Linked DNA regions of Elephas maximus indicus. The protein of the gene in region 1 purifies or fractionates together with the protein of each later gene. This does not show direct contact. Links are inferred from orthologs where the notes say so. Each region holds a gene or a part of one and is shown in the gene's direction. Other genes may lie near its edges.

The links.
Region 2: the proteins of CPSF2 (region 1) and CSTF2 purify together in Homo sapiens (affinity purification with western blotting; 3 studies listed by BioGRID and IntAct, with this or other methods). This does not show direct contact. The link is inferred for Elephas maximus indicus from reciprocal best matches to the Homo sapiens genes CPSF2 and CSTF2.

What each region holds. Positions count from the first base shown.
Region 1 is NC_064828.1:105,689,516-105,697,584, forward strand, and holds the start of CPSF2 (cleavage and polyadenylation specificity factor subunit 2), read left to right. Parts: upstream 1-4,404; 5' UTR 4,405-4,969; intron 4,970-8,069. UniProt on the Homo sapiens protein: Component of the cleavage and polyadenylation specificity factor (CPSF) complex that play a key role in pre-mRNA 3'-end formation, recognizing the AAUAAA signal sequence and interacting with poly(A) polymerase and other factors to bring about cleavage and poly(A) addition.
Region 2 is NC_064846.1:57,411,589-57,419,669, reverse strand, and holds the start of CSTF2 (cleavage stimulation factor subunit 2), read left to right. Parts: upstream 1-4,838; 5' UTR 4,839-4,895; coding exon 4,896-4,953; intron 4,954-6,419; coding exon 6,420-6,498; intron 6,499-6,884; coding exon 6,885-7,054; intron 7,055-7,756; coding exon 7,757-7,893; intron 7,894-8,081. UniProt on the Homo sapiens protein: One of the multiple factors required for polyadenylation and 3'-end cleavage of mammalian pre-mRNAs. This subunit is directly involved in the binding to pre-mRNAs.

The sequences.
Region 1 (8,069 bases):
TAGATTAAAAAAAAAAACTCATTGCTGTTGATTCCGACTCAGTGACCCTATAGGGCAGAGTAGGACTACCCCATAGAGTTTCCAAGGAGCACCTGGTGGATTCGAACTGCCCACCTTTTCATTAGCAGCTGTAGCACTTAACCACTGTGCCACCAGGGTTTCCATATTTCTAGATATATAGTATATTCAATATTTCTCGTGAATAATATTGAATATACCATGGACTGCCAAAAGAATGAACAAATCTGTCTTGGAAGAAGTACAACCAGAATGCTTCTTAGAAGCAAGGCTGGAGAGACTGTGTCTTACATACTTTTGGACATGTTGTCAGGAGGGATCAGTCCCTGGAGAAGGATATCATGTTCGGCAAAGTACAGGGTCAGTGGAAAAGAGGAAGGCCCTCAGCGAGGTGGACTGACACAGTGGCTCCAACAATGAGCTCAAGCATAACAACAATCATAAGGATGGTACAGGACCAGCCAGTATTTCATTCTGTTGTGCATAGGGTCACTATGAGTCAGAACCAACTTGAAGGCACCTAACAAGAACAAGACATATAGTGTGAAATAACTATTATTTTATACCTAAGAAAAATGGGGCTCAAATAGCTTAAACCCAGCTATTAAATGCAGAGGTGAATTCAAATTCAAGTCCTCTCCAAAGCTCTGGCTCCTTCCTACATTATCGCACTACCTCTCTAAGAAGCCTCTCCCTGAACTGATTTTAAGTTCCAAGAGTTTCCCAAAGGCAGAGGAGGAGGAATAGGGGAGCCAGTTGTCATCATATGGAAGATAAATGCATACTAATTCAATAACAACATGGTCCAATTGTTATTTTTTGGTAAAATTCTGTACATAAAGATGAAATTTAAATATGTTCATTTGCAAATAGCCTAAAATGAATAAATCATATGCAATGGTTGAGAAGACATGACAAAACCTTATTCAGAGTAGTAGTACATTTCTGCCAACAAAAGTGCTTAGCACTAAATTTGCTTGGATCACGTAGATGGAATTTCCTGCCTCTCCTAAGACAGTGGTTCTCACACATATACAATTCTAATTCTTTAATTTCTCAAACTTTAATCAAATACCCATTATGTACCAGGCACTGGGTTAGGAAATGACCATGAAGTTAAAGTCATACGATTACTATATATTTCATAAAGGGCAGTATTACACAATGGTTTCCTTTGAATATCACTGGTCTAGAAAATTATGAGGTAAGTAAATTACAAGATAATTAAAGCATATAATTTACTCACCAATTATTTTTATATTTTTAGTTTACTGTCTACAATTGGGGTTCTCAAACTTGCCTGCACATCATATGTAGAGCCATTTTCAAAAATAGGGATTCCTTGGCCCTACCTCCACGGTGGGGCTGGAAATATCTGTAGCTGAAAGTATTCCCCAGCTGATTCTGATGTAAGTGGTACTTGGACATACAAACGTAAATGTATCCAATCTGACTTTATTTCTATAAGATGGTGGTTCTCTTGGTATTGTGCCTGCACTAAATAGTGTTATCTGCATTTAGATCTCTAAATATTATTTTGATGAATACTTACTTTTTAGTGGATACCGACCAAGTGTGCCCACCAAGTACTTACTGTCTCAACTTACTTGCTTTATAAAATTGAGCCAATCAACGATGGGGATAACAACATGTACCTTAGTCAAATAACGTAACCTTGAAAGAGGTATCAATTCTACCCTAAGCACAGCTGACTATTAGATATTATTCTGCACTTAACCAACAACAAAAAGTACTTGTTAACTCCTAGCCCAAGACTGGCTAAAATAAGCCCATGGTCACCTGTGGGCTATAAGCCATCACGGCTGGTACTTTTTTTCGGGGAGGGAAACCAGACCCTAAGGAATTGGGTTTGTCTGGCTCTACTCCCAGCAGAAGAGATAAGACAAGGCTCTGTGGCTCTTGCTGCATTTAGGCTCTTCTAGAAATCCCAGATGCCAAAGGTATCTGGGTGTATCAGGGTTGTATGCTTTCACCATATTTATTCACTCTTTATGCTGGGCAAATAACCAGAGAAGCTGGACTATATGAAGAAGAATGGGGATTCAGGATTGGAGGAAGACATTTTATTCTGATTGTACAGTTTAGAATTTAGTAGACTTTGGGAGTCGTTGCACTGAACACGCTTTGTTTTATGGAGAGTGGATAACTAGAGATGACAAAGCTTTATGGACGTAAGTGAGCTAGAACGATGGAAAGTGGACTGTAGGGAAGGGGAGCCAGGTGCTCCGGTTCTTGGGCCCAAGACATAAGTGAGCTTGATCTGATGGAGAAGGGACAAAGAGGACTGGGAACAGGCTCCAGTGAGGCAAGCCCAGGTTTTGGATAAGGGAGGATCAGCAGTAGGATGACTCAGGGGAGAAAATAAAGAACCAATTGCTGTAGGGGACATCCACACACGTGCCTGTGACATAGCTGTGTATGTGCTTTTACTAATTTGCAACCTGTCATTCTGTCATATGGCAACATTAACATACATTATCAGATATAGGCCTCTGTAACCCATTGTATTTACCATTAATATTATCCAGATGCTTACACTGTACAAGAAATTAGTGTCTTTTTTATGAGTACCTTCAAGAAAAACATTTTTTTTTTTACTTCAGATCTGAAAATAGCTATGGCTTTCCCGAAAAAAATTAATTTTTTTATCTCACGGACTGCAGGAATCATGTACCTGATCATGTATCCTTCCATACCAAAATGATCCAGTTTTTTGGGTTTTTTTTGCCCATCTCTAGCAATATGGCTGCTAACCAAAAGGCCAGCAGTTTGAATACAGCATCTGCTCCCTGCAGGGCAGCTCTACTCTGTCACTGAGTCAGAATCAATTGGACAGCAAAGGGTTCTAGCAATAGCAGACTCTTTTTATAGCACTCTGTGTCAGGCATAGTTCTTACTGTTTTTCATATGCATCAGCTCATAATCACAACACTATATTTGTATTAACTCATATAATACCCACACTGTTCCCTATGTTTTTTTAGGATGAGGAAATCCAGGACAAATGATAAAATAACTTGTCTAAGGTCACAGATGCAGTAGGTGGCAGAGCTGGGATTAGTACCCAGGCATTTTGGCTCTTGTGTCTATGCTCTTTACTTGTGTTTTACAATAAAGCAGATTTTCTCTTAGAGTAAGTATAGAGGTAAGCACTGGTATTAATTAACCACACTTTTCATTCTATCTCATTTTTCTTTAGCCCAATTTTATTCCCACTTCTTGAAAAACAAAGGAGCCCTGGTGGCACAGTGGTTAAGAGTTTGGCTGCTAACCAAAAGGCAGCAGTTCGAATCCACCCGCCGCTCCTTTGGAAACCCTATGGGGCAGTTCTACCCTGTCCTGTATGGTCGCTATGAGTCAGAAGCGACTCGACGGCAACAGGTTTGGTTTTGGTTATGGTTAAAAACAAAAGTTGTATCTAGTATTTTTTGTATGTCACTAAAGATATTTATTTTTTAAGAAATAATATTCTACTCTCTAACTGGTTTTTACAGCCCTTTATATGTAGTATTCACAAAGTGCCGACTTAACCTCGAGAATGTGAACTCGAGATATGGAGCACTATCTTAATGGCATACACAACCTAGAAACCAAAAGCAAATTAAATACTGAGTTTTTAAAAAGTAAAAGGGTAAGTGCCTATTTTGTGAAAGAGAGTGAGAACAGCTTCCAATCCTAACTAACGACAATGGCCAAATCTGAGATGGTCGCAGAGGCACTCCACCCGTACTTCCGTCTCGGCATAGAACCCTGGCCCGCTTCGGTCTTCAGCCAGCGAGGGGGAGGTCACTGGGTGATCTCTCAAGACGTTTCCGGCCTTTATGACATTTATGACAGTCTCAGAGCTCCCCTTCCAAAAGCTGCCAGGCGGAGAACGTGAACGTAGGCGTCCATCAGAAGAAGAGGTCGTCGCTCGGAAGCCCGGCCGCTCCCGCCCCGGAGAGACTCAGCCACCCCACTACCACCAACCCCATCACCGCCAAGGGCTGTCATAGAAGACACCCCTACTGATATAGCACAACCGTGACCCGGCACGCACCCACCTGCGGTACCAACAACGATCCCAAGACCAAGGGCAGCCGCGAGCTCAGCAGCCTGCGCCGGCGGAAGCTGCAACGTCGGGCTCTACCATTTCCCGCTTCCGCACGGAAGAGAGGGGGTAGCATCTGGAAGTCATACCCCTTCTTCCTTTTCGCATGTGACTCTTCTCACATTTATTTCAGCTTTCAAACATAATGAATAATTTTGAAATAGAATTTCAGCCCAAGGTGACGAGACTTGTTGGTGTAAGTGCCTTCTCCTTCCTAGAGTTTCGTTCCCCCCCCAGAGATGGTATAATCCTGAGTCTCCCCGGCCTCAGCCGTTCCCCTCCAGTTCCAAGATGGCGGCCGCCGCTGAGGGGCTTCTGTCGGCGGATCGTCACAGTTGCTGTTGAGCGGGCACCACTTTTTCTAGCTCTCGAACCTGGATTCGACTAGGGGTTGGGAAGGGCAGTGGACGGCGTTGGGGGAGGACTGACGAGGCAAGTGAGGGCAAAAGAAAGGAGTGAGCCTTTGGATGAGGGAGGGGGCGTCCTCGGCCCTCAGGGAGAGCCTGGCCCCAACTCCGACCCAGCCTCCCTCGGGGACGTGCTCCCGGAGTTTCGGTTGAGCCAGTCCTGGTCGCTCCTGGCAGAAGCGCTCGGCGAGGGAACGAGAAGTGATTTCTTCGTGGGTCTGAAAGTGGCGGCTCCTTTGTGTCAGGCTGTGCCATTCACTCCCGTGCCTCCTTCTGGCGCTGCCTCTCCTCTGTCTGGGGCGCTGGAGGCGTTCATCCGGCGCCACGGTTAGCTCTTCCTCCGCGTGGCTACGGTGTTGTCAGCCTCCTCGCTCGGAGTCTTCCCGTCGTGTCGGGACGAGAGACTACGAGTCTGCTAAGCACTGGGCACGAAGTAGGCGTCCTTTTAGTTAACTGACTCCGAAGTTCTTAAAGATATTACTGCGCTTTCTTAATTGTCTCGGCCCTCCACCGTCCCCGACCGCTTTCACTCCTATCATTTCAGTATTTTAAGACCTCATTCTTTTTGACTTTGTGTGATTTTAACATGCTCTTTAGAAAACAGGAGGTCACGGGCAAGTCTGGCCTCCTGTGATCAGCCACACCTGAGTTACCATTTACTTATCCCCTGGATTTTCATTTACAGTCCCTTTGATCCTGTTGTGAAGCCACTGCTCTTCTGAAATTGACCAGAAAGAGACTTTCGCACCCCATGAGTTCCAGTACTAACCCGAACTCACCCCTTTGTTTTTTTCTGTGGATTTTGCATAGTTCCCCTTAGTCGTCATTTTCAGCATACAAGGTCGTTATTGAGAGAGCAAGTAACTGATACATATTTGGGATGAAGTCGTATCGACCAAATTCACAGCACTGAAGGCATTTATGATCTTGTGAGGATTCTTTTAGCGCACATTTGTGTTGTTTTGGGCACTGTGCTTGGTCTTGGAGAGAAAAGACAAACACTTTTACTCCTCTGTGCATTCAGTTTCATTCAACAAATGTTTTTTGTGCCTACTTTGTGCTAGGTAAAAATAACTAGTCTTTCCTGGGTGGCAAGGAGCTAATATTCCACTTTTGTGGTGAGGGGTCAAGAGGAATTTCTGAAACTCCAGGGGAGGCCATTCCTGGAAAAGTAACAAGTACAGGGATACAGAGACTTGAGAAGTTTTAGGTACTTAGAGTGGGGCAATAAATGTACTTGAACATGCAGTTCAAGGGTGGTTGGTGAAGGAAGAGGTAGGTTATCAATTCGTGAAGGGCCTTGATTTCCACCTTAGGACTTTAGGTTTTATTCAATAGTTAACAGGAATCCCATGGATCTTTTGTGCAAGGAGGGGACATGAAAATATTTGTTTTTGAGGATAGTCTCTCTGACAGTTGTGTGGAGGATCAACCTGGAACAGGGAAACTAAATGAGAGAAAGTTGCAGTTATTCAGGTAAGGTAATAGTAAATGCCTCAATTGTAGGGCAGTAAAAATATGAGGAGCCCTGCTGGTACAGTGGTTAAGCGCTCAGCTGCTAATTGAAAGGTCAGCAGTTTGAACCCACCAGCCACTCTGAAGGAGAAAGAAGTGGCATCGTGTGTCCATAAAGATTTACACCCTGGAAACCTTACGGGGCAGTTATACTACTCTGTCCAGAATTGACTCGGCAGCATCGGGTTTGGGTTATTTTTTTCTGATTAAGAATATAAGAGACATTTCTGAAGTGTCAATTTGATGGTAGGAGAGTGACTCCAGAGTTTTAGTCTGTGAGCCTAAGTCGTTGGTGATACCATTAAAGTCAAGTCTAAAATGTGTACATAAAAATAGAACGGTGCCGACCTGCACTTCAGCAGTGGCGGAGAACAGTGCCCAGCAGTCTCTGGCATTGACTTCAGTGTCTAGAGTCTAGACCTGCTCTGTGACAGAAGGCATATGTAGGTAGCTTTTGAGCACCAGAAACGTGGTTGGTTCAGATTGAGATGTGCTGTAAGTATAAATACACACTGGATTTTGAAGGCAGTAAAGACAAAAACAAAAAAAGTAAAATATTTCATTAATGATTTTTAAATAATACATGTGGAAATGATAATGTTTTGAATATATTGGGGTAAACAAATCTCTTTCACCTGTTTCTTTTCCTTTTCAATGTGGCTATGAAAAAAATCTTAAGCTGCATGTCGCTTGTGTTATATTTCTGTTGGACAGAGCTACTAGTCAAGACTAATGATGGGCAAATTGGTAACTGTAAAAAACCAAACCCGTTGCCATTGAATTGAATCTGGGCCTTGAGATGATGATGGTGAGCAGCGATGTCTGGGCAGTTTGCTGAAGTCCTCAGTTGCCAGCTAAGGCATTAGTTTTGTTTTTTTCAAGCAGTAAGAAGCCTTCAGAGATCTCTGAGCAAGGGGTAGTATGTGCAGGAGTCTTTCTGAAGGTTTAATTGGCAGCAGTGTTTAGGTAGAGATGAAGGGAGGAAAGGCTGGAGGCAGAGAAACAGAGAAACCTAAGTGTGAGGTAGAGAGGCCCTGCATTAAGGTACTGAGAGTAGGAACGGGAAGGGAGTGGTACACGTGCAAGGCATTTTGGGGGGAAAAACAATCAGAGGTTGATGACAGACTATCCAAGAAGAAGTAAAGGGAGGAATAAAAGATATAGAGTTTCAAGACTCAGTTGCTTAGATAATGACTCATGAATTGAGGTCAAAGAATTGTAAAAAAGTACATACGAGGCTTGGTTGCTCAGTGCTTAAGAGCTTGGTTGCTAACTAAAAGGTCGGCAGTTCAAATCCACTAGTTGCTCCTTGGAAGCCCGTCTCCACTTCTATAAGGTTGCTGTGAGTTAGAATCGACTCCACAGCAATGGGTACATTTAAGGCTAAAGAAATACAATCCCAAAATGGAAGCAGCAAAGTCGAGAGGAGAAGGTGGCCTGCTAAATATTCCCCCTTTTTATCTCCCTGCTTTCTGTATCTTATTCAGTCATTCATCTACACCAGATAATCTTCCTAAAATACACAATTACCTGTATCATGTCCTTTTCCTACTTAGTAATGGATCTTAAAATTCTTCTCTGTTCCTCATAGAAATTGGGTCCAAAGTTTCCAAGGCCCTTCGTTATTTCTGGCCCTTTTCTGTTCATTTGGCCTTTTCTTTCATTTTTTGATAATATAAAAGTGTGCCAGGCTAGTTGTTTTTCACCGATACTCTGTAAGTTTTTATTTTGTGCCTTTGCTGATGTTATTCTCCTGTTCTCGAATAGCTTCTTCTTTTGTCTGTTTCTACGCAGGTCCTCTCAATCCTTGACAAATAACCTTAGGTCCCACCTCTTCTGTGATTCTCAGTAACATAAGCTAATGTTGATTTTTAAAACTAGTTTCCTAAACTGCGTATTTTAGCATCTGGTTATAGCCAATTTGGTACATTTTTATTATTTTATTTCTATTTGTTTTATGCAAACTTATGCTTCCTAAAATTATGAAAAGTTTCTTTTAAGAAAAAGGACTATTGTGC
Region 2 (8,081 bases), on another chromosome or scaffold:
CTGATTAAAAAACTCTCAATAAAATAGGAGTAGAAGGGAAATTCCTCAACATAAGTAAAGACATCTATACAAAACCAACAGTCAACATCATTCTCAATGGGGAGAGGCTGAAACTATTCCCCCTGAGAACAGGAACAAGACAAGGATCCCCTTTATCACCATCCTATTTAACATTGTGCTGGAAGTCCTAGCTAGAACAATAAGGCAAGAAAAACAAATAAAGGGCACCCAAATTGGAAAGAAAGAAATAAAACTCTCCCTATTCGCAGATGATATGATCCTATACATAGAGAACCCCAAAGATTTGACAAGAAAACTTCTGGAACTAATAGAAAGACTCAAAAGACTAGCAGGATACAAGATCAACATACAAAAATCAGTTGGATTCCTATACACCAACAAAGAGAACTTCAAAAATGAAATCAGGAAAGCAATACCATTTATAATAGCCCCTAAAAAGATAAAATACTTGGGAATAAATCTAACCAGGGATGTAAAAGGCCTATACAAAGAAAACTACAAAACACCATTGCAAGAAACCAAAAGAGACCTACATAAATGGAAAAACATACCATGTTCATGAATAGGAAGACTCAAATGTCAATCTTACCCAAAGCGATCTACAGATATAATGCAATTCTGATCCAAATATCAATAGCATTCTTTAAGGAGATGAAAAAACTAATCGCCAAGTTTATATGGAAAGGAAAGAGGCCCCAGAAGATAATGCATTATTGAAGAAAAGGAACAACGTAGGAGGCGTCGCACTACCTGATTTCAGAACCTACTATACAGCCACGGTAGTCGTAACAGCCTGAGACTCGTCCAACAACAGAAATATACTTGAATGGAACAGAATTCACAAGCCAGTTGTAAATCCATCCACCTATGGTCAGCTGATCTTTGATAAAAGGACCAAAGTCTACTAAATGGGGAAAAGACAGTCTATAACAAACGGTGCTGCCAAAACTGGATGTTCATCTGTTAAAAAAAGGAAAACAGGGCCATACCTCACGCCATACACAAAAACTAACCCAAAATGGGCCAAAGACCTAAATATAGAACCTAAAGCAATAAAGATCATGGAAGAAAAAATAGAGACAACACTAAGGGCCCGAATAAACACTAAGGGCCCGAATACATAGCATAAATTCAGTATAAACCATAACTAACAATGCACAAGCAGCACAAGATAATCTAGAAAACTGGGAGCTCTTAAAAATTAAACACTTATGCTCATCAAGAGTAAAAAGAGAACCTTCAAACTAGAAAAAATTTTTTGGCTACGACATATCCAACAAGGGTCTAATCACTAAAATTTATAGAATACTTCGATGCCTCAATAACAAAAAAACAAATAACCCAATTTAAAAAATGGGCAAAGGAGATGAACAGACACTTCACCAAAGAAGACATTCACCTGGCTAACAGACACATGAGGAAATGCTCATGATCATTAGCCATTACAGAAATGCAAATCAAAACTACAATGAGATACCATCTCACCCCGACATTACTGGCACAAAAAAAAAAAACAGAAAATAACAAATGTTGGAGAAGTTGCAGGGAGATTGGAACTCTTACGCACTGCTGGTGGGAATGTAAAATGGTACAACCACTATGGAAAAAGATATGGCGCCACCTTAAAAAGCTAGAAATAGAAATAGTGCAGTCCCACTCCTAGGAATATATCCTACAGCAAGGACCTACACGCACACATTCTTCATATAGTCCAGCTTCTCAGAGTATTCGCTCAGCGTACGGATGGAATAAGTATGGTGAAAGGGTACAAGCCTGATACACGCCTTTCCTGATTTTAAACCAATCAGCATCCCCCTGTTCTGTTTGAATGAATACCTCTTGGTCTGTGTACATGTTCCTGCAGTATGATGGATTGCTTTTGTGTGGCCTTTCTTGCCATGGTCTTATAACTCCCACCCAGGTGATTGGGTGGGACTGTGTGATAGGGTAATTGTGGCCCTCCAAAGCAATTGGTCAGTTTTGCCATCCTGCTGGGCTTGAAATGAGCCACTCCAAAGGCGGGAAAGAGGATCCCAGCGCCACCAAGGAAGAACAGCCAGGAGCCAGCTCTGGACCCATGATCCCTGTGCTGAGAAGCTCCCGGAAGCAGGAGCCGAGAGAGAGAGAGAGAGCTATAACCCTGAAGATGGTGAGAAGCGGTGGCAGAAGAGAAGCAGTGGAAGGAGAGACCTCACAGCAGATGTCACCACGGTCTTCCTGACCCACAGAGAGAGAAAGCTGAGCGCCTTTGGGCAGGGGCCTAGCACAGGGAGAGGTGTGCATGTGAACATGGCTGGGAAGAGGCTTTCCTGATGGAAGAACTGTATCCTTGAGTTTTCCTGAGTCTGAATTATAATCTGTTACTTCCTAAATAAACCCCATAATCATGAGTATGGTCTGTGAGTTCTTTGTAGCCATTGCATTGAATTATCAAACCCAGCAGAAAAGTAGAGAGTTTTGTGGGAGGGATGGTTGGTGTCAGAATTGGTAAAGATGGCAGAGAGAGGAGGCATGCCTGACCCCCACCTCATAGGAATCAGCCTTGGACTGTTGATCTTGGTTCTCCTTCCTCCTGGTGAAATTTGAGGAGGTTAGACACTGTCCTCACACTATTTTTGCAGTTCCTCATGAGCACAATTAAGTGTTCCGGAACTTCCATTCTCCAAAATGTTATTCATAATTTGTTATGATCCATACAGTCTTTGCATAGTCAATAAAACACAGGTAAAATCTTTGTGGCATTCTCTGCTTTCAGCCAAGATTTATCTGACAGCAGCAATGATATCCCTCATTCTACATCCTCTTCTGAATCCAGCTTGAATTTCTGGCAGTTCCTTGTTGATGTACTGCTGCAACCGTTTTTGACTTACCTTCAGCAAAATTTTACTTGTGTGCAATATTAATGTTATTGTTTGATAATTTCTGCATTTGGTTGGATCACCTTTCTTTGGAATAGCCATAAATATGGATGTCTTCTAGTCAGTTGGCCAGGTATCTGTCTTCCAAATTTCTTGGCATAGACAATGAGCACTCACAGCATAGCATCTGCTTGCTGAAACATCTCAATTGGTATTAGCTTTTATTATTACTAATTCATTGGTATCACCTGCACAGTTATAAGAAGGCTGAAGTATAAGTTATCTATGCAATGCGAGCAATGCAACAGGATCTTCAGATCCAGGATCCATTTTGGTCTAGTATTGCTGATACTAACAAGGGTATTAAATTTTCAGTGTTTCTCAAGGGGAGAGAGTTGGCATCAGGTAGGGGGAGGGATTCATTGTATAGGGCTGTGCTGGACTTAGAAATACATCTATTATCTCTGGTTCCCTCCCCCCACAAGTAATAGCACTCCCTCAGCCATTACAATAACCAGTCTGATACACTTCCAAGCACCTTCCTCCACAAAAGGGTAGTTCTAGGTTGAAAACTAATGTAAGGGCAATTTTATAAGAAAGCATCATTAAATGTTGCCATAAAGCTACCTCAATAGGTACAATGCGGTCCAAATTACTTGACCCTAACAATCAAGGGCAGTTGATTAAAAATAATTATTCTCAGATTCCTCCCCTAGAATCCCATTCCGTAGGCCTGGGGTGGAGATCCAGGAATTTCTACTCTTCAGCACCCAAGGTGAGCCTTTTGCTCATTCAAGTTTGGGAAACACTAGGTGAGAAAGATACTGAGCCACACACGCATTTATACAAAGTTCACCACACTGGGACAATGGCTCGCCAAAGCTCTTTGAAATCTTGTTTGGAACTATTTTATAACACAAGGTGTTTTCTTGATCACACAGTAATTGCAAGTGGGAATCTGGAGTCATGGGAGAACTCTTCCAAAACTTTTTATTTTGGCTCATATTATTACTTTAAATGACATGCTCCACGGTGTAAAGTAGCTTCATTTATTTTTACCAAATATTCCTCATACTTCAAGCAAGGATCTACACACACACACACACACACACACACTTCTAATCTATCTGGGATTAATAAAACGTCCTTGTCTCAAATTCTGTAGATATTTTAGCATCTCTGCCTTCTTTTTTCGGACAAAAAGTCCGTCAAAGAGAGTGCTCTTGATTCCTTCCTCCAACCCTGGCAGGCTGTCTTCCTGTGAGGTGGCAACTAGTCCTGCATGCCATATTCCAGGAGCGCAAGCACCAGAATTTGGTACCAATGGTCAATGATGCTTTATGTTGTTTACAATCCCCTGCCTGTCAGTGTTCTCTCCCCTCGCCCCCTACCACCACCAAGCATATAGAGCCCAGGGACTACACGAGAGCAGACACGGGACTGTTCTCCTTTTAACTCTCCAACTCCTCAGCTATCTTGGCAACTTGGCGTTAAGCGCCCCTCCTTCTCTTCGCTGGCAAAAGTCTCTTCCCTAAGCTCACTCTGTACACTCGCAACTTTAGCAAAATGACAGCAGACACGCTTCTGAGGCGGGGCAAGCATTTCCCTCCCTTAATAAGGCGGAACTAAAATGAAAGTGTGCCGGTTGTTGGTAAATGAGCTCCCTGTTACCATGGTAAAAACCGCTGCTGCCATCTTTATTGTGGTCGATGATACCTCGACTTAAGAGATAATGAGTAACAACAAGAATTCTACAGACTAAAACCTTCAAAGTCGCCTGGATCCGCCATCTAGACCAGAACGATATTATCTGGCGGTAGCCAGACGACGAAGGCGTTGTGCCACTCACGGCCCTAACGAGAGCTTGCGGATGACGGAACGACGCCTGGGGACGGGCTCTGCGTCCGCCGGCCCAGGAGCTTCCGGCTCACGCGCCGTACGGAAGCGAGTTCCGCGCTGGGCTCACGCGCCGTACGGAAGTGTGTTTAGCGCACCGGAAGCCGCCTGAAGAGAGCGATGGCGGGTTTGACTGTGAGGGACCCTGCGGTGGATCGTTCACTACGTTCTGTGTTCGGTGAGAGGAATTCGGTGGAGCCCAGCGTCTGGGAAGGGCAGGAAGAGGCAGGGAACGGCGAGGAACGCCCCCTGCAACTCTCCCACCTCATGAACCGGAGCCGGTGATAGGTCGGGCGTCGAGCTCTACCTGCTTATCCTGTGGGCGGTCAATCTGGTAGATTTGTAAGCAAACAGATGCTTCCCGTACCGCGATGTCCCGCAGCCTTTCTGCGATATTGTTGAGGGAGTTAGGCGAGCGTTCAGCTTCTATGCGTTTCTCCTTTCACGAGCTTCAGTTATTATCTGGAAGCGAGAGCGCATGGCGACAGTCCCTCACTGTCCCGTACTACCTGCTCACCCCCTATTCCAGAATGCAAATTAAATGCTGAGGGGGTAGATCCCTATGTCCACTTTCCGCCCTCTGATAAGGATTTTCTTTCTCTGCTTTTTACCGGTAACATTGCAGTTCATCATAGTGGTAGCGGCCACCTGGTGTCCTGAGGTGGATTATAAATAAATGAATGAATGAATGAATGAATGAATAAGACCTCGTCGAAGGAATTCTGAAGAGGATTGAATCTATTCTGAGTAAATTTTTCGGCCGAAATAAGTTGTTTTTCAAAGCATGTGTGGTGATTTTAAAGCACTTTTTGAAAAGGAACTTGACAAAACAATTTAGAATAATTTTTAAATATACTCCACTGCATTCTTGGACTTTCCTAAGTGTGTGTGTGTGTGTGTGGAAATGCAGACATTTGAGCTTGTTATAAAAATTATATTTTCAGTAGTTACCAACACCCAAACTCATTGCTGTCAAGTAAATTTGGGCTCATAGCGACCCTATAGGACAGAGTAGAACTGCCTCACAGGGTTTCCAAGGAGCAGCTGGTGGATTCAAACTGCTGATCTTTTGGTTAGCAGCTGAGCTCTTAACCACTGCACCACCAGAGCTCCATTTTTCATAGTGAGAAATAACACTTGCAGACTTTCAGGAAAATACCTATGCCTTAGTATTTATTTTCACTGAAGTTAAGGAAAATCTAACACTTGTCATATAAGTCTGAAAACTAACATTTAGGAGTGCCTACACCTTTTTTGGAAACCCCGGTGGCGTAGTGGTTAAGAGCTACGGCTGCTAACCACAGGTCAGCAGTCCAAATCCACAGGCTCTCCTTGGAAGCTCTATGGGGCAGTTCTACTCTGTCCTATAGGGTTGCTGTGAGTTGGAATCGACTCGACAGCAATGGATTTGGTTTGGTACACCTTTTATTGAGTTTCCTCGGTGGTTTACTTCATTTTTGTCAGCAGATAAGATTGGAATCTCGTCTGAAGGAGTTCCGTGGAGCAAGGATTTGAAGAACACTGTATTTTGAGCCAATTGTTACATACCCAGTGATATAAGTAGATAATGTACTGTTTACATTTTCACTAAAGACCTAGGTTACAAACTCAGGATTTTAATATGTCACGTATTTTTTTCCTTAGTGGGGAACATTCCTTATGAAGCTACTGAAGAACAGTTAAAGGACATCTTTTCTGAGGTTGGACCTGTTGTTAGTTTCAGGTGAGGTCCCCTTCTTTTGCCTCTTAGTAGGGGGTTTCTTCTTAAAAATTGCCACAAATTTGGCCATTAGGAATAATGAGAAGTTTTTTTTTTTTTTACTGGTGATGTTTTACATGCATTCTTTTTTTTTTTTAGGGCAGCTTTACTGAGGTATAATTCACATACCATACAATTCACATGCATTCTTATCTAAGAGATATATATATTTTTTTTTCATTTAAAAAAATGCTTAAAAAGATTTTAGTGAGGCAAAGTCAGAATTGTAAAGTTTTATCCTATGGTTGGCCAAATTAGAGAGTGGAAATGCTAGCAAGAACCCTGTATTTGTAACATTTGTGTCCGATTATTTGTAACATTTGTGTCCGATACTTGGTTCTGTTCACCAGGTTGGTATATGACAGAGAGACAGGAAAACCAAAAGGTTATGGCTTCTGTGAGTACCAAGACCAGGAGACGGCCCTGAGTGCCATGCGGAACCTGAATGGGCGTGAATTCAGTGGTAGAGCACTTAGAGTAGATAATGCTGCTAGTGAGAAGAACAAAGAAGAGCTGAAGAGTAAGTATAAATTCAGGTTTTATGAAATACAGGTTAGTAAAAATGTAACAGTGAAAAATTTCCATTTAGAGTGTATTCTAGAATATGCTGGAGTAGTTAGCGACACAATTTCTTTATTTGATTGACTTGAGGAGCCTGAGTTATGGAAGTAAATATCTTTGAGAAAGAAGGTAGAGTTGACATTGAGAGTCCTTCAGTTGCCAAGAGGGGAATTGATTTCCAGCTAGAGGTGAAGTTATTCAGGCTCACCAAGCCATCAGTAGGTGCGAATCATGTTGTTAGCATTTGCCACTCATATGACTATATTGTCAGATCTATAACTGGTGGGGTAATAAGGCATTCTTGTGTTTTTTACTGTGAAGTAATAGATCCAGAAATCCCATTTTTAAATTAACATCTTTTTTCTGTTTAAACCTTTTGCTAGTGCAGCGTTTTGTCAAAAGTTCATATGCCTAGTTTCCTACCTTAGTTTAACTTTGTCCATCTATGTGATCATGGTCCCCTTTTTCCTCTGAGAACAGAAAATACACTCTGTTACTTGCCTCCACAGAAAGAAAAGATTAGCAAATCACTTATTTGACAGTTCCGGAGAATTTTTAAGTTATCAACTGGTCCTTATGGTAGCCCTGGAAAATAGATACTTGAAGTGATTTAGCCCTTTATCTTATCTCCTTAACTTTCTTGTACTTTATTCCTGACCAGGCCTTGGCACCGGTGCCCCTGTCATTGAGTCACCTTATGGAGAGACCATCAGTCCTGAGGATGCCCCTGAGTCCATTAGCAAAGCAGTTGCCAGCCTTCCACCAGAACAGATGTTTGAGCTGATGAAACAAATGAAGGTAGGATGAGGCATTAGGTTATGACCAAATCATATCACCTCAGATTTTTAAGGAGTGATTGATTGACAGTGGATATGGTTCCCTGAGTTCAAATACGTGTGCCTGTAGACCATCATTTCCTGCACCTTCAATATTCTGTATACACATAGTGTATTTTACATTTTATGCAAAGAGGTTCCCATTTCTGT